4 linked regions of the Saccharomyces cerevisiae S288C genome follow. The gene in region 4 interacts genetically with the main gene of each other region. Each region holds a gene or a part of one and is shown on either strand. Other genes may lie near its edges. The genes, in order: DAL4, RGI1, TDA2 and YKL033W-A.

Evidence for each region.
Region 1: mutations in YKL033W-A (region 4) and DAL4 together harm fitness more than expected from each alone (negative genetic interaction), as found in Saccharomyces cerevisiae (2 studies listed by BioGRID).
Region 2: mutations in YKL033W-A (region 4) and RGI1 together harm fitness more than expected from each alone (negative genetic interaction), as found in Saccharomyces cerevisiae (2 studies listed by BioGRID).
Region 3: mutations in YKL033W-A (region 4) and TDA2 together harm fitness more than expected from each alone (negative genetic interaction), as found in Saccharomyces cerevisiae (2 studies listed by BioGRID).

What each region holds. Positions count from the first base shown.
Region 1 is NC_001141.2:405,553-412,411, reverse strand, and holds DAL4 (allantoin permease), read right to left. Parts: upstream 3,945-6,859; coding exon 2,037-3,944; downstream 1-2,036. Other genes in the region: DCG1 (Dcg1p), read left to right, coding at 1-376; DAL2 (allantoicase), read right to left, coding at 574-1,605; DAL1 (allantoinase), read left to right, coding at 4,770-6,152; tyrosine protein phosphatase YVH1, read left to right, coding at 6,445-6,859. UniProt on the Saccharomyces cerevisiae protein: Transport of allantoin.
Region 2 is NC_001137.3:288,674-294,020, reverse strand, and holds RGI1 (Rgi1p), read right to left. Parts: upstream 1,956-5,347; coding exon 1,470-1,955; downstream 1-1,469. Other genes in the region: CCR4-NOT core ubiquitin-protein ligase subunit MOT2, read right to left, coding at 1-971; RRT13 (Rrt13p), read right to left, coding at 3,222-3,779. UniProt on the Saccharomyces cerevisiae protein: Involved in the control of energetic metabolism and significantly contribute to cell fitness, especially under respiratory growth conditions.
Region 3 is NC_001137.3:301,447-306,572, reverse strand, and holds TDA2 (Tda2p), read left to right. Parts: upstream 1-4,245; coding exon 4,246-4,626; downstream 4,627-5,126. Other genes in the region: 40S ribosomal protein eS24 RPS24A, read right to left, coding at 248-250; aldehyde dehydrogenase (NAD(P)(+)) ALD5, read right to left, coding at 981-2,543; VTC1 (Vtc1p), read right to left, coding at 3,378-3,767; ribonucleotide-diphosphate reductase subunit RNR1, read right to left, coding at 4,957-5,126.
Region 4 is NC_001143.9:372,342-377,610, forward strand, and holds YKL033W-A (haloacid dehalogenase superfamily protein), read left to right. Parts: upstream 1-2,163; coding exon 2,164-2,874; downstream 2,875-5,269. Other genes in the region: ubiquitin-protein ligase TUL1, read left to right, coding at 1-1,764; TTI1 (Tti1p), read left to right, coding at 3,115-5,269. UniProt on the Saccharomyces cerevisiae protein: Nucleotidase with XMP as the best in vitro substrate. Low catalytic efficiencies of YKL033W-A observed with XMP and other substrates suggest that these could be secondary activities for this protein, and its primary substrate is not yet identified.

The sequences.
Region 1 (6,859 bases), on a different chromosome or scaffold from region 4:
TTTGGTTGGAAAGAAGTTCTCTATTATTACTTCAAATAAAGAATGGATTCCAATATTGAATAACTCTGTGGAATCGAAATTCTTGACAGGGAATACAGTTAACAAAAATTTATGGAAAGGTACGGTATCTACTGATTTACAGGTCCTCGACCTACATAGTCCAGAAAATTTCCAGCAGATAGCAGAAATTATATATCGCGAAAATATTAAAAAGCTTGATTCAGACATTGTAATATTAGGTTGTGCAGGATTCTCGGGTTTGCAAAATAAACTGGCGAAAACATTCCAAAGGGATGGCACGCTGTTTCTGGACACGATTGAGATCGGTTTACAGATTCTAATCACTATGATAAGATTTGTCAACTCACAAAAATAAATAGAAATATGATTGTTTTTTATAGAGTGTAAATTTTAATGTTTTGTCGTGAAGAAGAAGAAGTAAATAAAGTAGCGTGGGGATAGCGAAATGAAAACATTCAATTATCAAAACAAAAACTTTTAACTACATTTATACCTTTACTTTTAAAGTGCCAAGAGTGCATTGGTTTAAAATATACAGTAGTTAAGTATTTATCAGTACCCCCAAACTCTTATTCTTTTCACTCCTCCATCTGGAATAATCGTTAATTTGACATGGGAGACTCTTATACTCTTACGTATTTCATACACATGTTCTTTGTCAGGCCCCGTCTTTGACTTACCAACTAGCTCTACCCATGTTCCTTCACCAGTGTTCTCACTTGATTCTGACTCCTTCAAGCAACCTTCCACGGTAATGAACTGAGGGAAGTTCCCCCTGAAGTGTGCCGTATCAACAATAATCTTCTCAATGAAAGAAGACTCCCTGCCCAGTTGAATTACCGCCCAATCAGTATGACCTGGTTGTCTCGATCTTTTGGTTTCCCAGCCGTCCGACATATCATGACCTCGACCTGGCAGTAGCAAATTATCAACTGAACCGAAGTGTTGGTCAGAATACTTTAAAGCGACAGCACCATTGCAAACATAAGCCAAGTCAATTATATGATCCTTCGTTTTGAGTTCTGGAGGAACAACTCTTCCGTATAATCTAAATCTGGCGATTCCTCCATCGGGGTACATCTTCAGCTTGATGTGAGTAAACCTTTCTTTAGTAAGGCCGTTGCCTCTAACGAAAAGATGCCTTTGCGAAGGACCACACTCAAATTTCTCAACAATCTCAACCCAACGCGAGTCATCTTCCACTATATTACCTTCTTCGCCCTCGTCATAGAGCGCCTCTATTGATACAAATGGTGCATGATTACCATTGAAAAACGCAGTGTCAATTTCACCACCAATAATATGGGCAGCAGCGACTCCCATCTTGATGATAACCCAATCGTATTCCATCTCATTATGTCTTCGTGTTTCCCAGCCGTCGTACCATGCGCCTGAATGAACAAATCTGGTAGGATCCCTTATAGGAGCAGTTGGCTGAATTAAATTTTCAGCAGAAGCAAACCATTCATCTGAAAAAGAAACCACTTGACCACCTAACTTAGATCCTATAACATCTACTGCTTTGTTTTTTGAAATGATTATTGACTTAAATTCTGCCTCATCTGCCAAACTAAAAAACTTCATTTTTCTAAAGAAGAGACCGATTAGATACAATTAATTGTTTGATCGGCTTCATAATTTCCCCATATCATAGCAAAATGCACTTCCATTCCTTTATAGCATTTGATCTCAGAAAATGTGTCTATAATTTAGACTTTTCTTCCAGCTGAATTTCATTGTGGTTCCTGTGTTTTTATCTTATCGCTAATTCGAGTCAAAGATAAGATGTCGGAATTATCCGGAGTTCTGATAGGCTCAAACAAGCGCAAGTTTGGTAGGTTGATGACGGTTTAGCTAATCATCAGTACATTATTCAGACGGGAATGCATGTATGAAGCTGATAAATTTGATTAAGAAAGGTACATAAAAATACACAGAACGAATATTAAGGTGTTTTGAAGAAATTATCAATTCTCCTGATCACTACTGGTAAGAGAATAAATTGGGATTTTTATTTAGTAAACTATCTTTTCCTCGGTGCCATCATAGATACTGACTGTGTCATCGCAGAGGTCATCCCTACGTAACTCATTCTTCCAATCTTGCTCGAAGTCCTCAACATAAGCCCATCTTTGGAACCATCCTTTCTCTGTCAGAAAATTGGTTACGGGAGTACCAGGGACAGGAAAAAAGTAACATAATATGAGGTATATCACCGCACTAATAAAGAAACCTACCGGATAACCTAAATAGTATAACCTCATTGCACCCTCTGAAACCGTAATTTTTGGAGCTCCAACATCACCTATAAAACCTGGTAAATTTGGAGCGATACCGCAAATATACGCAACAAAGGCCCTCCAATTGGCACCAAATTTGTTTCCAAACATGTAAAAGGAACCCTTCTGTGCCAGGAATAAATGTGTTAATTTCACATATCCTCTTCTTACTACGAAATAATCCGCGCAAATGACACCAGCAATACTGGAAAGGAAAATTGCATAAGCACCCAAAGCGCTGGTGAACTTACTTGAACTGGCCATTAAGTTCCATGGACAGATACATAGAGCCATTGCCACACAGAATAAAGAACCTCTTCTAATATTAATATATCTTGGAAACAAAGCCGTCATATCAGCACCACATGCCAGAGAGTTGGCAGAAATGTTTGTACCCAGTTGAGCTAAGGCAAATACAAAAGAAATCAAGAACACACCAGCCCTAGTACCTCTGGTGTAAGTGGTCTCCAAAAATTGACCAAGTACATCCAGTGGTGACCAATAGTTAACCCCATATAAGTGATAACCGGCCGCAGTAACAATGATACCGATCAAACATGTTATGGCGAAGAACAATGGGATGGCAACCAATTGTGGCCACAAAGACGCTTGAGGATTTTTGGCAAATCTACCGAAGTCAGGGGCGTTGATAATCAAAGCGGCAAAGTTAGCAACACAGGCCATTAGGGATCTAACGAATATCCATGAAAATTCGGAACCATGAGGTGAATAATCATTCAGCGTCCCCAACTCAATTTTACCGTGCGATTTCTTCAAAGCCCAGATTAAAAATCCAAAGGCTGCGAAGGGGATCAAAGCTGCTTTTACTGTGAATAAATGCCTGATTTTATGAGGAGCCACTAGGACAAATGGTATACTGACCACCCAAAATATAAAGAAACACATGAATTCAAAAGTAGTGCTATTTGGAGAACCAAAATGGTTTGGGATTCTATCTTCCAGATTCTTGCCAAAAATAGATTTTAGCATCAGTGCCACGGGCGTTGCACCTAACCAGGCTTGCACGGCATACCATACTATAGCCATCACGACACGATTTATAATCGGCCACATAGAAAAGAATATACCAAATGAGGCCCTAACAGTAATAGGGAAAGATAAGTGATATGCGGAACCAAATCTCGAGTTCAATACTACGAAGATACCTGCAAAAGTGTAGCCGATCCAAACTGTAAGCCAACATTGCCACCAATTCAGACCTAGTTGTAGACCTGTACCAGCTATTTGCCATGTGTTAATATTGAAACAGTCTGCCAGCCAGAAATATAAGTAATTGAACCAGGACCAACACCTTCTTTCTTCTTCAACCGGTTTCAAGTCTCTGTTATACAAGAACGACTCTTTCAACGAAACATTCAAAGTTGTCTTGTCTAACACAATGAAATCGTAGTATATTTTACTCCAGATGGACTTTGTTTCGGGCAAGGGCACGACTTCGCTCTCCTCTATTGAGGAGTTGTCCACATACACATTAGTGTTGATATTCTTGTTCTTGTTGAACTTCCCATTTTCCACATCTATAATATCATCTTCATTGTTTGTATATGACACAATAGATGTGGAGGGTTGGACACCTTTCCTCGAAGGATTACTGAAAATAGCACTTAGAGCGTCGTTAGCCATTCTCGTCTTTGTTGATGTTTTATATCACAAGATGTAGATGAATATAAAAGGTCAAAAAGGGAAACTAAAGTAACATATATATTCAAACTACTCATCAAGCTAATTATTTATACTTTTTTTTTCTTCCCCATGTTTTCCTAGCCTTCTATGCTCAACACTAGCAGATCAAGTTTCTCGATTACAAACTTGTTTCTCTGATACTCTACCTCTCTATGCTAATCATTGGACACAATTTTTAAAGGAACCTTATCGACGTGACAGCAAAGCGGTCAATCCATCCTATTATTCCTTCTCATCTCCCTGAAAAGGAAAACATCCTGGATCTTCAATTACACATACACATTCCTTATCGCAACTAGATTAGAGGCGCTATTTTGTATGCGACAGCGAGTAAGGATGGCCGGAAAAAAAGCGGGCGCATTTTCCCTGGCAGAAATTTTTCATTGATAAGAAAGTAATACCGATAAGAGATACCCTCGAGCCACATTAGACCCGAGAATTGCAGGAAAGAAAGGAACTGCATGTTTCGATTCTATTGTCCCTTACTGCGGATCATCGAATAGGCGCAAATGTGTTGATGGTGGACTGATGGAACTTTATCAGGAGAAGTGGTTCAAAATTGCGGTGCTTAATTATCTATATAGAGGAGGCATATCTCATCGAAGGGGACAATGATGAGGTAACGCAAAAGTGATGAGTTTCTACTGGTATCTTGTAATTGAAGGTACCCCTTTTTCTTTTAGCTATCTTTAATTAGGTTAGAAAAGTGTATATTTCGCAAAAACGTATAGGCAAAAAAAAAGTGAAATACTGCGAAGAACAAAGATGCCTATCAATGCCATCACTTCCGACCATGTCATTATCAATGGTGCAAATAAACCTGCGACTATTGTGTATTCGACCGAATCAGGCACGATTCTGGATGTTTTAGAAGGCTCCGTGGTTATGGAGAAAACTGAGATAACCAAATATGAAATACATACGCTGGAGAACGTATCTCCATGTACAATTCTGCCTGGACTTGTGGACTCTCATGTTCACTTGAACGAGCCCGGTAGGACTAGCTGGGAAGGATTCGAAACTGGAACTCAAGCTGCTATTAGTGGCGGGGTCACAACGGTGGTTGATATGCCGCTAAATGCTATTCCTCCCACAACAAATGTGGAGAATTTCCGAATTAAATTGGAAGCTGCTGAGGGCCAAATGTGGTGCGATGTTGGGTTTTGGGGTGGACTGGTACCACACAACTTGCCAGACTTAATTCCGCTTGTCAAAGCTGGCGTTCGCGGGTTCAAAGGATTCTTGCTTGATTCTGGTGTGGAAGAATTCCCTCCAATTGGCAAAGAATATATAGAAGAAGCCTTGAAGGTCTTAGCCGAGGAGGATACCATGATGATGTTTCATGCTGAGTTGCCCAAGGCACATGAGGACCAACAGCAACCCGAGCAAAGCCATCGTGAATATTCTTCGTTTTTGTCCTCGAGGCCGGATTCTTTCGAAATAGACGCCATCAATTTGATTCTCGAATGCTTGAGAGCCAGAAATGGACCAGTTCCTCCTGTACATATAGTTCATCTGGCATCAATGAAAGCAATTCCCTTGATCAGAAAGGCACGTGCGTCAGGGCTACCAGTCACAACAGAGACTTGTTTCCACTATTTGTGTATTGCTGCAGAGCAGATCCCAGACGGAGCCACCTACTTTAAATGTTGTCCACCCATCCGCTCTGAGTCTAATCGCCAAGGCCTATGGGACGCTTTGCGTGAAGGTGTTATAGGCTCAGTAGTGAGCGACCATTCGCCATGCACCCCTGAGTTGAAGAACTTGCAAAAAGGTGACTTTTTCGATTCTTGGGGAGGAATCGCTTCCGTCGGACTAGGTTTGCCATTGATGTTTACCCAAGGCTGCTCTTTGGTCGATATCGTTACATGGTGCTGTAAAAATACATCCCATCAGGTAGGACTATCTCACCAAAAAGGCACTATAGCTCCCGGGTACGATGCTGATTTGGTGGTATTTGATACTGCAAGTAAACATAAAATAAGTAATTCAAGTGTCTACTTCAAAAACAAATTGACTGCCTACAACGGGATGACGGTCAAGGGCACAGTTTTGAAAACCATATTAAGAGGCCAGGTGGTATATACGAATGCCAACGGAGTCTCGAAAACACCATTGGGTCAAACTTTGCTTGATTCTAGACGTTAAACTAAAGTTGCAAATTTTTATTAAAGAAATTCTATAGAAATAAAAGAAACAAATTTATAAAAAGTTATTTACACACATACATATATTAACCACTCTTAGTTTGAGATGACACAACTTTTAATGATCTACAATATATCCATCTGGGTCTCCACGGCTGCAATTTTGAAATTTTCTTAGCGCTAAAAAAAAGAAATCTAACTGAAAAAAAAAATTATACCTCAGCTCATCGAATGCATCTAATACAGGTATAACGCAGAGAAAGCAGTAAAAGCAGCAAGAAATTACAGGGAAGATGGCTGGAAATGCAAACTCAGTAGACGAGGAAGTTACCAGGATATTAGGAGGCATATATCTTGGCGGAATCCGTCCAATTATTGACCACAGACCATTGGGTGCAGAATTTAACATTACTCATATTCTTTCTGTTATCAAATTCCAGGTCATTCCAGAGTATCTAATAAGGAAAGGTTACACGCTAAAAAACATACCCATCGATGATGATGATGTGACTGATGTGCTGCAATACTTCGATGAAACGAACCGATTCATTGATCAATGCTTGTTCCCCAATGAAGTTGAGTATTCGCCCAGATTAGTAGATTTCAAGAAGAAACCACAACGTGGTGCTGTTTTTGCTCATTGTCAAGCAGGACTCTCGAGATCTGTAACCTTCATAGTAGCCTACCTAATGTATCGTTATGGATTGT
Region 2 (5,347 bases), on a different chromosome or scaffold from region 4:
CTGTCATGATGTAACTGAGCCCTCATCGCCGCCGGTGAAGGTGTGCCTGTGAAATTTTCACTTAGTAAATTGGTATTTGAACCAGCGGTACTGGTAGATATATTGTTGTGTATTCCAGATCTAGTGAATGCAGTTCCGCCACTTTGCTGTTGCGCTTGTTGTTTATTGTGGAGTTCTCTTTTATTAAAAGAATCAGCTTCTTCACCAGGTTCATGCAAAAACATACAGTTGGGATTTGGGCATGGCAATCCTCTTAAATAAGAAGAACAGTATTTAGTAGTACCGTAGGCAGCTTTGATCAGGCGGCCATCCATATACGTCCCGTCTACCTGAGCTATACATCTTGCAGCATCGTCCTTGGATCCGAAGGTTATGTAAACGCCATATCCTGGTGAATGATGGTGATAATGCTCGCTGGTTGTGTTGTTAGAATGGGGTGTTTTTCTATTAACCACAATCTTATTTATCTTACCATATTGGCCAAAATATTTTTCAGATTTCAGAGTGGGCGCAACTTCCTCGTATGGAACAGGAGGATTGATGCCAACAACGTACACTAAATTCTTTTGGATAACTCTGGTACCAGATAAATGTTTCCTATTCGTATATTCATTCTCTTTACGTTCTTTTTCTCTATGCTTTCTTTCTTTCTCCTTCCTAGCGAGCTTGGCTCTCTCCATTTTTAACTCCTCCGGAGATAATGTGACGTATCTGACGTTCTCGTCATCATATTTACGACGACATGCTGGGCAACGGCCATTTAATTCTGGATTTTGTCTGATATTATTGTAGCAAAATTGACAAATTTGATAACCACAGGGACAAGGAAAAAAATTTTTATCAGTAATATCCATTGGTTCAATACAAAGAGGGCAATAATCTTCTTCATCCTCCGATAAAAATGACGTATCAAAATTGCTTAAGGCGTTGTGGATTGCTTGCAAATTTTCTTGAACGTGTGGATTCATCATTATGACTGGATTATATACGATACTTTTATTTGGTCTTTTGTACTTTTTATTAAGTTTTGGGATTGTTGCAGAGTAACAAAAGCAGTAATCTATACTATTCGAACCACTACTGAAAACCCTAGGAGGGCTTTTACTGTATGTAGTACACGTCTTGATATGCTTTTCGGAAATTTTGAAAAGAGAAAGCAAAAAAAAAAATCATATTCACACTTACAATGTTACCCGGGAAGAGACGGCAATCAAGTGGAAGTTCGGGTAATAGCATTCATTTTAGAAGCGTCGATATAATCATCGACCAGGTAGTAGTTTAACAATACATTATCAGGTTTCGCGGCGTAACAGTGATACTACTTTATAGCGTTTCACGTCTTCGGGCTCAACATTTCAATAAAAAAAATTCAAAAAGTTGCTAATCGTAAATCATTAAAGGTACATAAAACTACTTATGAATTTGGGAGGTTAGGATTCAGTACTAACACATTCTCTATGACACAACCTTTAATTTGCGCCTACAGGATGTGTTTTGTAATCGACAAATACCATAGCATCTTCATGTGTGCAAACTACTTGAACGTCTATCTTGAAAGGTCTACCATGGTATTCAGTTTCCTCACCGTAATGCCAGGTGATTTTATCAAATGTCTCTTCCTTCGATTTTTCGTGAAATTTAAGCTCAGGTTTCCTAACGGCTTGCTTAATATCTTTCAAAAGATGCTTTTCAATATGCTGGTGCAGGTGACGCACGAACTTCTTAGAATGAGAATTTGCAGCATCACTAATTTTTTCAGGGTCCTCGTGCGACTCGTGTAGCACAAATGGTGGGTAGTAATTTAATTTACAGTGCAAATGATCGAAATCATCATCTTCAGTTTCATTGGCAATGAAAGTTTCAAAACCCTGCAGGTCTTCAAAAACTTTCACGGTTTCACCATCCTCCGTGGTAACCGTTTGAACTTTTACTTCCTTCTTATCCTTCTTTGTCATTTAAAGTGGAGACGAAAACAGTCGATACCTAATTTATATGTTCTATGGGCAATTATTAGAATACAATGCAGAACTTGTCCCTTTATGAAATGTTTTGACCAAAGAAATTTGAACGTGGAAGAACAAAAGATTCAAATATACGCTAGAAATCTTTTGCCTTATATATGTGCACACAATCAAGTAAAGACACTTGTATTTTTCCACCCAGCAATACCCCTTAAGAACGCTGCCCCTTTCATTCTATATTTAATTAACCATACAGTAACTTATAATACCCCTGATTACAGGATGCATTTGTTATGGAAGTCAATTGCCGAGAGCCGTCCACATTATGCTGGTTGCCTCGAGGATATTATTTTTTAGCACATCCGCAATCTCGCCACACCGCATTTCCGTTCCTTCGGCCCCTGAATCTGGGGTAAAAAAAAAAAAAGCAGTCATCTGGAGATTGTATCACCCAAAAAGAAATACGTTTCTGGCTCGTAACAGGTATGACAACACGTTGTCAGAATACCAAAGTTTAGTCTGAACATTTGACTGCGTGTATATCGGAAACGCTGGATTTTTGGTGCCACCTTCTTCGTTCATGGCATATGTGTAAGTCACGTAGGATTAATGTCATCAATTTCATGAGTTGAGTGAAAGTGCAACTTTACAATGTAGTCAACATACTGCACCGTCATCATTACATATTTCAGATTAAGGGTGATAATGCCGCTTTCATAATTCCTATTGAAACCTTGTATTGGCATATGATACTTCAGGAAGATGTGTTCGGCAATCGTTGCTTTTACTTCGGTACTCTTGACAGATTATGTCATTTATTCGCACCAGTAAGGATGTAGCTCTTGTCTTCTGTAGCCGAATTATCGAAGTTAATGAATAATATTACACACAGCTACAGTTTCAGGAAAAATATGAGACGAGTCGCAAATAAGCGGCCATTGTATACATTATGACAAAGTGAGTGTGATAATTACTGCATGGCCCAATGCATGAAAATATGGGTCAACTTGTACCACATTTGCTACAAATGGACGATAACTGAACTGGGCATAAACAAAATTACTTTTTCCTCGATTTTAGTCCTGCTGATTGAGCTAATAATACATAGCTCGCATGTAATTAATGTTGATATATTAAACTAATAAATAGCACATAACTTATTAATGTAAATTCTAAAGTTTTATATTTGTTTACACCGAAAAAGTACAACTGAGTTCCAAACGTGACAAGGTAAGTTCTGCATCATTCTCACATCAATCTTCAACTAAAGTCCAAAATTTCTAAAAGATTTCGCTTGTCTCGTTCTACCGCTGCCACAAGTGTGTTGTCCTTAAAACTAACGTTCCAAACATTATCAGCACCACTCAATGTATCTGAACGGACTAACAGCCCACTATTTAAATCATAAATATTGAGCAAACCTTCAGATCCACTCACTAATACCTCATCAGAAACGTGCAATGCGGTGATTGTATTCAACTGCGTGTGATCGAAAAAGTGCTTCAGAAAGTAAGTGTTAGCGTCCCAACACCTTATTGAACCGTCTACAGAAGCACTGACTAAAAATTTATCGGATAATCCCAATAAACCGACTAGGGCTCTGTGACCCCGCAAAGTGTACATAGCACCAAGTATTTTGGCGCATGGCGATGCTGAATTTGTTGCGTAGGAACATTCTCCATTATTCCTTATATTTTCCAAATCCCAAATTCTAATAGTGGTATCCATACTGGCAGAGATGCACCTTTTTCTTTCATGATCGTAGATTGTCGAATAAATACGATCCGTATGTCCACTCAAGATATATAGACATTTCATTTGCGCAACATCCCACACAATCAATGTATTATCATAGGAGCCACTAATGGCAATATTACCGTGGCCTGAGACAGTTCTTACAGTCGCCGTATGTCCTCTTAAAACACCAACAAAATATGGGTTCTCCTCAGGGGTATGAAAGACTAATGGATAATCATGTTCTTCCCCATGATCAGGAACGGAGGACTCCTTGGGCAATTTCCAAACGTGCAAAGTGTTATCTCTCGAACCAGTAACAATGTACTTGATATTTTTATATTCTACTATATCTAGGCACCTCACCGTAGAGTTATGACCTTTAAACACATGGGTACAACAACCTTTCTTAATATCTCAAACTCGCACCGTTCTGCCTGTAGAACCGCTGACTAAAATACCGCCATGGGCATACTTCAATGCCCAAACCTCACCATCATGACCTGATAGTTGTAAAAGAAATCTTTTATTTACTAAGTTATAAACTCTGATCGTTTTATCACATCCTCCTGTAATGACATAATTATCTTCAACTTGCAAGCACGCAATAACACTCGTCATATGGCCACTTAACGTGGTCCTTTGAGGTGTATAATCAGGATCAAACAAATTTACCAAAACAGACATTTCAGACACAACTTCCAGTACTTTATTAAAGCTTCGCAGATAGACGTTCTGATATAATTCCAAGGTAATAGAAAGCGATTGCTGTTTAAGTTGAACATGGTTTGCATTGATTTATTTAAACTTCGGGTAAATTGCTGGCTGCAACTTTCATTTAGACGAAAATGCAAAATCAATTGCCCCTTGTTGATAGCTTTAAGTGGAAGCCGTTGACTAGGTTTTAACGGGAGTGTGACTCCAAATGAAAAAATTATTGAAAGCTAAGATTATTTTGCACTATGACATTCTCGATAATCCCTTGGAAAGATTTAAGTGATTAGTCCGAGTACCGATATGGTTGAGAATCAAAGGTTTCTTTTCACAACGGTGACCCCACCATTTGAAAAAAAAAAAAAAATGAAAACGATGGCAACGCCCTTATCTGGCGTGGTTATTACCATAGAAAAGTTTATTCAATGTTTTTGTTATTCTCACTGACACAGACAGCATTTTGGAATATTGCATTCCTAACATATTGCTACATTAGCAATTGAAAGGGCAGTCGGAACTATCACGTAGTTTGAAAATGTCTTCCCGCTTAGCTCATTATGCATAAGCTTGTGCACGGCGTCATGGTCCATTTACTGTACATGGTAAGAAAGTTTTATTCCACCTACACTGATGTTGGCTGGTATGTTGATGGTTTTTGATAATTCACGTGTAATTAAGAACATCGAAACACTATCTGATGTATTTTTTATTGTTGAAATTTCTGACTCGTTTACAACCTACAAGCCCATACTGAGCTAAGTTTGCCATGTGCCCATCTATCTGTATTCGTGTCGAATCGGAAAATTATTATGGTACTTTTGTGTTGGAGATGGACAATAGAACGGTATGATGAGGCTTTGGTATTTTCATTTTAACAAGTGAATTTGAGAATTGGGTGATTTGTGATTATATTTGGGTGCACTGTTGGAAAAGGCTAT
Region 3 (5,126 bases), on a different chromosome or scaffold from region 4:
ATTCGAGTGTTTAAATTTGAGTTATAAATTTAACCAATTACGATACGGATTTCACATTTCTTTTCACAATGATTGCCATTAATATATTAGCCAATAGTTGCTGTTACGCCACCTTAAATTTGCAAAACATTTCTTCTTTTACTTTCTTTTCTCGTTATGGTACCTTTATTGCCTTTTATACTAACTCATGGCAACTTTAACATGGAATATGGGACGTCATCTTTCATCTGAGCACTTTTTAACATACCATTTCTGCTTAATCTATGTTGGTTTCTTGAAATCTTTGTTTTGAACTAATACCTAACCATCCTCTAGCTCTTGAAATTCACTATAGTTATTCAATTCTTCTTCGCTGAGACAAAGTTAAAGCGCTGGGTGGACAACCGAGTGAAACTTCCTTCCAAAGGAAGCAGCCTTCTGGAGTATTCCGTTAGTGACTGCGTGGCCCCGCCTACAGGACGCTTAGGTGATGAATACTCGCCGAGGCGTAGGCTGCGGCATCGGACAATCATATTTTATGACAGTGGAAGAAGCGCAAGAAATGAAAAGAAAGTTGTAGGATGTGTGGGCTTGTAAATGTGTGGGTGTACAGTCCCGATATTGGCATACATTATCACATCGATAGAGTTTTCTGTTTATATATCTCTCTGGCACTTGTATCTACCTATAAAGATGAAATTTTGAAAAACAGAACTAGTGAGCAATTTGATCAATGAAACGAATTTGATTACTATATATTTCAATATACAATATCACCAAAAAAAAAAAAAAAAGTAAAGAAGGTAATTTCTCACCTATGCTTAAGAATGTAAATACATTGTTCATTAATGTTTATCACGTTATTATTTTTTTGTTTTGTTTTTTTTTTTTTGAATATATCCTTGTTAGATTTTATCTGTATGTCACGAGGCATTTTTCATTATTCTATAATGTTTATCATACATACCTTCAATGAGCAGTCAACTCGGGCCTGAGTTACTTCAACGAATTGGCTTGTCAATGGCAATTCTGACAGATTTTGTTTGAGTGTAGTTACTTAAAGCAGCCTCACCCATTTCACGGCCAATACCTGACTGGCCGAAGCCACCGAAAGGAACATTTTGGTGGAAGTTGTTATAGGTATTTATCCAAACAGTACCAGCTTTCACTCTTTTGGACACATCAACAGCCTTGTTAATATCGTTAGTGTGAATACCTGCGGCTAACCCATATTGAGAATCATTTGCCATAGCAATCACTTCATCAACAGTAGAAAACTTGGATACAGTTACAATGGGACCAAACACTTCCTCCTTAACAATTCTCATATCTTCTTTGACATCAGCAAACACTGTTGGCTTGACAAAATAACCTTTACTGCCATGTCTGGCCCCTCCAGTCACAAGACGAGCCCCCTCTGATTTTGCTACATCGACATAGTCTAAAATTTTATGCAGCTGTTTGTCAGATGTTTGAGCACCTTGGAAAACTTCCTCATCAAATGGGTCACCGACCTTTAGTGACTCGGTGTAATCCTTTAGTTTTTGCAACACCTCCTCGTATACTGTATCTTGAATGTATATTCTGGAACCAGCGCAGCAAACTTCACCAGAGTTGTAAAAAATACCGAAGGCAATGTTCTTGACGGCTTTATCTAGATCAGCGTCAGCAAACACAATATTTGGTGATTTACCTCCCAGCTCCAAAGTGACTTTCTTGACAGTATCGGCAGCGACCTTCATAATATGGCGGCCGGTGGCAGTAGAGCCTGTAAAAGCAATCTTCTTCACGTCTGGGTGTGCACTCAATCTTTCTCCAACAACTCTACCGGAACCCGGAAGGATATTGACTACACCAGCGGGTATGCCTGCTTCCTGACACAACTGGGAAGCGAAAAGGGCAGATAAAGGTGTTGTTTCAGCGGGTTTCAATACGACGGTGTTACCTGTAGCCAGAGCAGGCCCAATTTTCCATGACCACATCAATAAAGGGAAGTTCCAAGGGATTATTTGGCCGCAAACGCCTAATGGTTCCTTAATTGAGTAGGTAAAATGGTTTTTACCTGTGTCAATAACGTTACCGTAGATTTTATCTGCCCAACCACCGCAAGAACGCAAGTATTTAGATACTAAAGCGACGTCACCGCGCGCACAAAACAATGACTTACCATTATCCATTGACTCAATGGCAGCCAGTGTTTCTTGGTGTTTCTCAACCAAGTCAGCGAGATTGAATAAAGCTTTAGCGCGAACCTCCGGCTCTACAATAGACCACTTCGTTTCAAAAGCTTTTTTAGCCGCTGCAACGGCTTCATCAACATCATCTTCCATAGCCTTGTATACAGTTGTTATCTTTTCTTCGTTAGATGGATTGATCACGTCAAACGTTTTCTTTTGCTTCGAGGCAACAAATTCACCATTGATGAATAACCCTGTTGGCTGTTCGTAGGTGAAACCATTTGGAAGAGTAATTGGAACGCGTAATGGTGCTTGAGAATAAAGACGTAACAAGCTTCTAGTGAATATTCTGGAATTCGGAGCTGCAGCTCTTGTGCGAGAAAGCATTTCTTCTTCTTTGGCTTTTTGTTAATGTTGTGAAGAAGTTTTCTGTCTTAACCACGTTTGATGAGACACTTATCGTATTGTTATATATGCTAAAAATGTCAAGAAGTCCTAAATTCAAAATAAATTAAGACGTTCTTTTTACATGGGGCTTATATAATCGTGTTTTGTTCTGTTCTTTGAAGCCATTCTCATCGAAAAACTCTAACAATCTGCGTAGTGATGAGTCAGAAGTCTTCCAACATTTTTAACGATACACAACCCCTCTCAGTTTGTGAAAAAAAAAAGAAAGAGAATAGCTTCCATCTTTTGGCGCCTTAAGCGGTATTCTAAAGGCTCCGCGAGCGAGCCTCTTTAACCTAATGCAAAAAAAAATTGTTACGCACGTTCCCGGCTTTTACCGTAATAGTAGTCAAGAGCTTAACTCTACGGCTAACAAGCGCTTGGTTGTACTACGCTCAGCGTACCATTAGGCCCTTGCTAGTCCGGTAGCGGCCAAAAAAAAAAATGGAACCCTTTTTGTATACTTATTTATCATTGATGTGTAAACGGCTTCTTAGGCTTACATAGCCACAAGAGAAAAGAAAGATGCCTCATCGAAATTAAAATTTTTTTATAGCGCTTGATATCTAGTGAAAGGGGCTGATTTTCAACTTGATATCCAAAAACGTAATGAGTACAAACAATAGCTCCTGAAACGTGAATATTTTTATTGTTCATGATTACCTATAGATGGATACTTTCTATATATGCGTATATATGAAACTAAATTATTTGTGAGCATCTTGAAAATACAGTTTGTGCGTAACCCACGCTTACGATATTGGAATTACAATTTCATAACTTAGTGTTAGCGTCATTGTACTTCAATCTTAATATAAAGTTGATAATGACAGCAACCAATAAGAAAAAGCACAACAAAGTGGGCCCCAATCTGTCATCATAAGGACCTGATCCTCTACGTCTAATCGCAGCAGCTCTCCAGTGGTATGTTACAAGCGCGTATATCATTGTACCCATGGCAACAAAAGTAAATAGTCCTGCACTGACCCTACCTATCTTGTCACCAAAATTCAGTAAACCTACACCAAGGCCTCCCAGCATAACTGTAAAGTTCAACCACGACAAAAAGGTACGCTCATTGGCAAAGAACACTTTTGGCTCAACTCGTGTGGGCAAAGCGATCTTTTTCCCAGGTGTTCTTTGTAATAATGGTGCTGAAGACATATTGTGGAAATCTGGCGTAGTGTTTAATCGTATTCGATAATGTAGTAAATCGTATGTTACGTGTATGCAAGTCGCTGGTTATGGAAATATGGACTCTTAAATACTGTTATCTATTTTGTATAATGCAGCATTCATTTTCTTCTCTCCGAGACACGTGCTAATATCTATTTCAAAGTGAAGTATCACCGACCGTAACAAGCGATATAACCATTAGTTATCTGATACGTGCTCAAAGATACTTGAAGAGAGAGTCTCATTATTTCTTGTCTCTATACATTTCCCAGTTTGCTATACTTAATCGCTCTTGCCATTCTATCCGAAAATAGCGATGCCAATATACCTCCTTTTTTGTAAATTTCTTTACTAGAAAATACGTATTCTTCTCTCTATTAGCGGATACCGTCTTGCAGTTTTACAAAACGCACTGTAAATTATTTAGGATAAGTGAAAGTAAGTGATTACGAAAGTCAACAAAAAAATGAGTATGCAGATTGAAATAAAGGATGGAAGGAGTGATAACTCTCCTCTGCCCGAAAGAAAACTAGTTACGTTAATTCAAGAAAGTTATGATAGTTTAAAAGATGACAATGAAATCAATTTATCGACCGAATCAACTTCCAACCTTCTTATAAAACTGGTCCTAGAAAAACTTGAAAAGCACTCTTCTTTGTATAAATATATTGCCTCGGTAACGACGTTGAACATTGAAGGACTCAACGAAGAAAACGCTAATTTCTCATTGAAGAACGATATAGGCGCATCCTGGGAATCTAAAAAAGATGGTATATTCAACTATAAACTAGAAGACAAAAATAATAATGAGTGCTATTTAATTACAATTCTTTGGCTTCACAAGTAGATATGTATTTGCTTTAATGTTGCCACATAAAGTTGCGTTCCTTTATAGAACAATGTTGCCTAGACCCCATTTCGGGGCAGGGGGGAATCTGTATCATGGCCTTCTTACAAGGACAGCTTAAAATGTTCATGTTAAATTATTCGACTTTTTTTATGTATATATGCAAAGTAGAAAAATAATTAGTAAACATATATAGGTACCTTTTAGCTTGGCATTAGAATGGAAACCAATTTTTTTATCAGAGAAAACAAAAGAAAATATAAATTACACCTCGAAGTAAACACCCAAATTTTGATAAATAGAATTGAAGAAATAAAAACTTAGCCCTCATTAACCCGAACACATTTCACAAGCTTCTGGGTTATCAATAGCACATGCTATAACCTTAGAGTTGTAAATGTCGAACTCGGTTTCCTCATCATCAACGATGGGGGCAGCTTTTTCTTCATTCTTAGTTGGGGCAGGTACTTCAGGAACTTCTACCTTAGACTCTTGAACGT
Region 4 (5,269 bases):
ACGTACTGGTCTGAGTGGCCTTCGTATGGCGAACTTCATAATGTGAGTTTTCAGCATGGCGAAATAGCTATTCAAATTTCTCATATGAGCAATCTTCAGGACAATAATAATTACTTAAGGAGAAATTTCATAAATAAGAAAAATGACCGTTGGAAGTTGTTAAATCTTCAGATTGATTTCTCAGATAAGGCTGAAAAGGAAAAGCATTCCATATACTCGAAGGCTGTATATGACATTCAACGTGGTAGAATTCTTTCTATTTCTCAGAGTTCTAAATTTCATTCATTGTTCGCCCTTCCTCATTACATGTCCTTCCAGAATGATTATAATGAGAAAATATTTAATGATGTCAAGGAACTCGTTGATGAATTTTGGAATTTCACGGATTACACAGATGTCATGACCATGAAAGACGTACAGGATGCTTATAATAATGCCAACTTTAAATGTGAGTATTTGATTTTTCTTCAGTTGGAACCATGGAATCAGTACACAAGAGATCAGATCAAGTTAATAGATGATGAATTGAATTGGCCCCTGGGGCGTCCGGCAAATCTGTCTAGTTTACCGCCCATAAATGTTGTCTCTGGATTACTGTATTCTCCAGACTGTGGCGTACGATTAGGGCTTCATAACGTAAAGGGTACACGGTACGAATTAAAAATAATGTCGATCAGAAAACATCTATTGTTCGGTATTGCATTATTTGCAGCCCAGATATACTTATTGCTTACTCAGATGCATCATACAAATACCCCCTCCATGGTCAACAAAATCTCATTCTATTGTTTCTCAATGATAAACTTAGTCGATGGTTCCTTGGCCACTTTGTACTTTGTCGCAGCTAGTGTCGTTCCCGAATTGTACTTACCCCTAGTTATAAGTGCTTTTTCGTGCTTTATCTTGGCATCTATTTTTGAAATACGCTACTTAATTTCAATTTACGCTTCACAGGTTAACGAACAGAATGTTGGGATTATCAACCTCCTGCGTGGTAACACTGGCACATATGATGAGAATAGGCCAAGACCCGCATTCATTCCCGATGAAGGGTCTATCGGTGGCTCGTTATATGGTAGGTTTTTCTTTATGCTAATCATTTTCACGTTTTTAATATTGAGTTCAACTTCATGGCCCCGTCAGCTAAGGATGGTATTTGAGTATATCCTAATCTTCATATTAAACTCATATTGGATCCCTCAAATTTTCCGTAACGCCGTTAAAGGTATTCCTTCAAGAAGAGAAAGAGCAAGATCTAGCATTGGAGGAAATAGAAGTCAAAACAAAATGCCATTATTGTGGAGTTTTGTAATTGGTACAACAATAATTAGAAGCTTGCCCGTTGTGTATGTTTTCACTTACTCCTCTAATGTGTTCAGGCACCATAAAGATGTTCATTTCGTCGTATTTTTATCATTGTGGCTACTGTTTCAAATTAGTATACTGTATTCTCAAGATGTATTGGGATCGCGCTGGTTCTTGCCTAAGCACACAATACCTGATGGATATTCGTATTTCAAGCCCCTTTCAAACGAGTATATATCGGAGCATGGTGGTGGAACTGCTGAACATACCGTTGATTGCGCGATATGTATGTCTGATGTTCCAATTTACATAGAGGAAATTCCAGAAACTCATAAGGTGGATCAGCACTCTTACATGGTAACGCCTTGTAATCACGTATTTCATACTTCGTGTCTAGAAAACTGGATGAATTATAAGTTACAATGTCCTGTGTGTAGGTCACCATTACCTCCGTTGTAGATAGCATCTCTTGATCCTAAGAACTATATACTGTATTTGTATTCAAGATCCAAGATACCGTGACATTTCCTATTTGTCAACCATTGCAATAAGAAATTTTACATGAATAGTGCATTAACTTTTTATTACCACTAAAGTAGTTTTGCTTAAATATACAATAGGCAAACTAGACTTAGGATAATTCACAAGGGTTTTTAGTGTTACCCTTTTTCCGTATGACACATTTTTCGAGGAATTAATTATTGGGAAAATATTGCCGATCAAGATCCATTGAGGTGAATCTAAATCGCTCCAACTCCAAGTTGGGGAATCTTAAGACCGTCACTGCCTTCCAATTACACTGCTTTTGTTTCTTTGACAATAAGAACGCAAAAGTAAATTTCTTTTTTTTAACAAATTATGACACATCCTGTAGCAGTGAAGGCATGTCTATTTGACATGGATGGTCTTCTCATCAACACAGAGGATATTTATACTGAAACTTTAAATGAAACTCTCGCAGAATTTGGTAAGGGACCTTTAACTTGGGATGTGAAGATTAAATTGCAAGGGCTTCCGGGACCGGAAGCAGGAAAAAGGGTGATCGAACACTACAAATTACCAATAACTTTAGATGAGTACGACGAAAGAAATGTTGCATTGCAATCTCTTAAATGGGGTACTTGCGAATTTCTTCCCGGTGCATTGAATTTGTTGAAATACTTAAAGTTAAAGAACATTCCTATTGCATTATGTACGTCTTCGAACAAGACTAAATTTCGCGGCAAAACAAGTCATTTAGAGGAAGGTTTTGATCTTTTCGATACCATTGTCACTGGTGATGATCCAAGAATTGCAAAAGGTAGGGGTAAGCCTTTCCCGGACATTTGGCAGTTGGGTTTAAAGGAATTGAATGAGAAGTTTCATACCGATATTAAGCCCGATGAGTGTATAGTGTTCGAAGATGGTATTCCAGGCGTAAAATCAGCCAAGGCATTTGGTGCACACGTTATTTGGGTCCCCCATCCAGAAGCACATGCTGTTTTGGGGGACACAGAAGCTTTGTTAGCCGGTAAAGGTGAACTATTGTCTTCTTTGGAAAAACTGGAAATGTCCAAATATGGACTGTGAATTTCCAGTATTTACGTAAACAATATATTTGTATATTGCACTAAGTATAAAAAGGGATGATTTGTATTTGATTTATCACACTACTTTATGTGGTGAGCTCAGTTATTTTTGTATAATATACTATAGTACATGTTTGGGTTTTTATCGTTTTATTTCAATCTCATTACAATAAAATATTATAGTGAACATGCACATCGAAAGGAAAGATTGCAATAGCTGGTGTTCAAAAGCTTTGTGCAAATGAATTCAGACACGAATGCATTTAAGGACATAAGAATTTCATGTGTTGAACTTTCTAGGATCGCTTTTTTACCCACCGAATCATTTGATCCAAATTCATTAACGCTATTGGCATGTTTAAAAAAAGTTGAAGAGAAGTTATCAGCATACGAAGACGATTCACTTTCGCCAAAATTTGCAGATTATGTTTTTGTTCCTATCGCGAGTTTATTGAAACAGCCAGCTCTCGGCGAGTCTCAAACAGAATACGTCCTACTAATTATATTTCATCTCTTACGGACATGTTGGTCATCTAATGGTAAATTCTCCGAGCAATTGGGACAACAACTGTTCCCCTTAATCACATTTTTAGTCAGTTCTGATAAAGATAATCAAAAATTAATTACTAGATCAGACGAGTTCAAGTACGCTGGTTGTTTAGTCTTGCATCAGTTTTTCAAATCAGTAAGATCGCAAAGGTACCATAAAGAGTTCTTTTCGAACTCAAAACCTAATTTACTTCCCGCTCTAGGACATTCTGTTACCATTCTGTTGAAAATTCTGGAGCAATCGCCCCAAAATAATGAGCTTCAATTCAAAGCTTTGGCATCCTTAGAAGTACTATTTCAGGACATAATATCTGATGGTGAAATGCTTTCCTTTATTCTTCCGGGGAACGTTTCTGTTTTCGCTAAGATACTTACTAAACCAGGCCGTCAAATACATTATAAGGTGTGTGTTCGCACGCTAGAGGTTCTGGCAAAATTATTGGTTTTGGTTTACGATGATTTTAGTTTGGATATCAAAGTAAATAAGTTAACAGATATTCGAGAGTTGAGCGATACAAAGTTAAAACACGAGATAAATCAATCATTTATGTTTAATGGACCTATTGTTTTGTTACGCACAGATGGGAAGACGCATAGAGATACAAGTTGGTTGACGGCAACTTCTGGGCAAATCAATATTGCTTTGGAGGCCTTTATACCCAAACTATTAAAACGTAATAATGAATCAATTGATGAGGCATTAGCGACATTTGTATCAATCCTTTTAACTAGATGTGAAAATTCTTTAAATAATTGTGAGAAAGTGTTGGTATCCACTTTAGTACATTTGGAGCGTGATCCGATGTCCAAATTACCATCGCATTTGGTAAAATTAAAGGAAGTTGTCAATGAAGACCTGCACAAGCTAAGTGACATTATTCGGTTTGAAAATGCAGATAGGTTATCATCTTTATCATTTGCAATCACTATTCTAGAGAAAAATAACGAAAGAGATACAATGATCAATGAGGTAGTTAGATGTTTATTTGAATCGCTTAATGAATCTATTGAGCCACCAAGTTTGATCAATCATAAAGAGAGAATAATTGAACAAAGTAGTCAATTAACAACTACAGTAAATTTCGAAAACTTGGAAAGTACGAATGCTCTGATTGCTTTACCAAGATTATCAGAAGACATGTCACTCAAACTGAAAAAATTTACATACCATATGGGTTCTTTGTTGTTAGAAAGACATATTCTCAACGATGTGGTGACAGAGTTGATTTCAGAACAAGTTGATTCACCAAGAACGCAGAAGATAGTTGCGCTGTGGTTAAGCACCAATTTTATAAAGGCTATGGAAAAGCAACCGAAGGAGGAAGAAGTCTATCTACAATTTGAATCTGATGCCAACTATTCCTCTTCCATGGTTGAAGAAGTGTGTTTGATTGTATTGGAATTTTGCAATGAACTTTCTCAAGACATTAGCATGGAGATTGAAGGTAAAGGCATAAAAAAAAGTGATGAGTTTGCCGTATGTACAGTTTTATTCTCTATTGAAACGATTTGTGCGGTAATGAGAGAAGAATTTCAACCAGAATTGATTGACTATATATACACAGTAGTTGACGCCTTGGCATCACCGTCCGAAGCCATTAGGTATGTGAGCCAATCCTGTGCATTGAGGATAGCAGATACCCTATATCATGGGTCTATCCCAAACATGATCTTAAGCAACGTAGATTATCTTGTAGAATCTATTTCCTCAAGATTGAATTCTGGGATGACTGAACGAGTGAGCCAAATATTAATGGTGATTTGCCAATTGGCTGGCTATGAAACCATTGAAAATTTTAAAGATGTTATTGAAACGATATTTAAACTACTGGATTATTATCATGGAT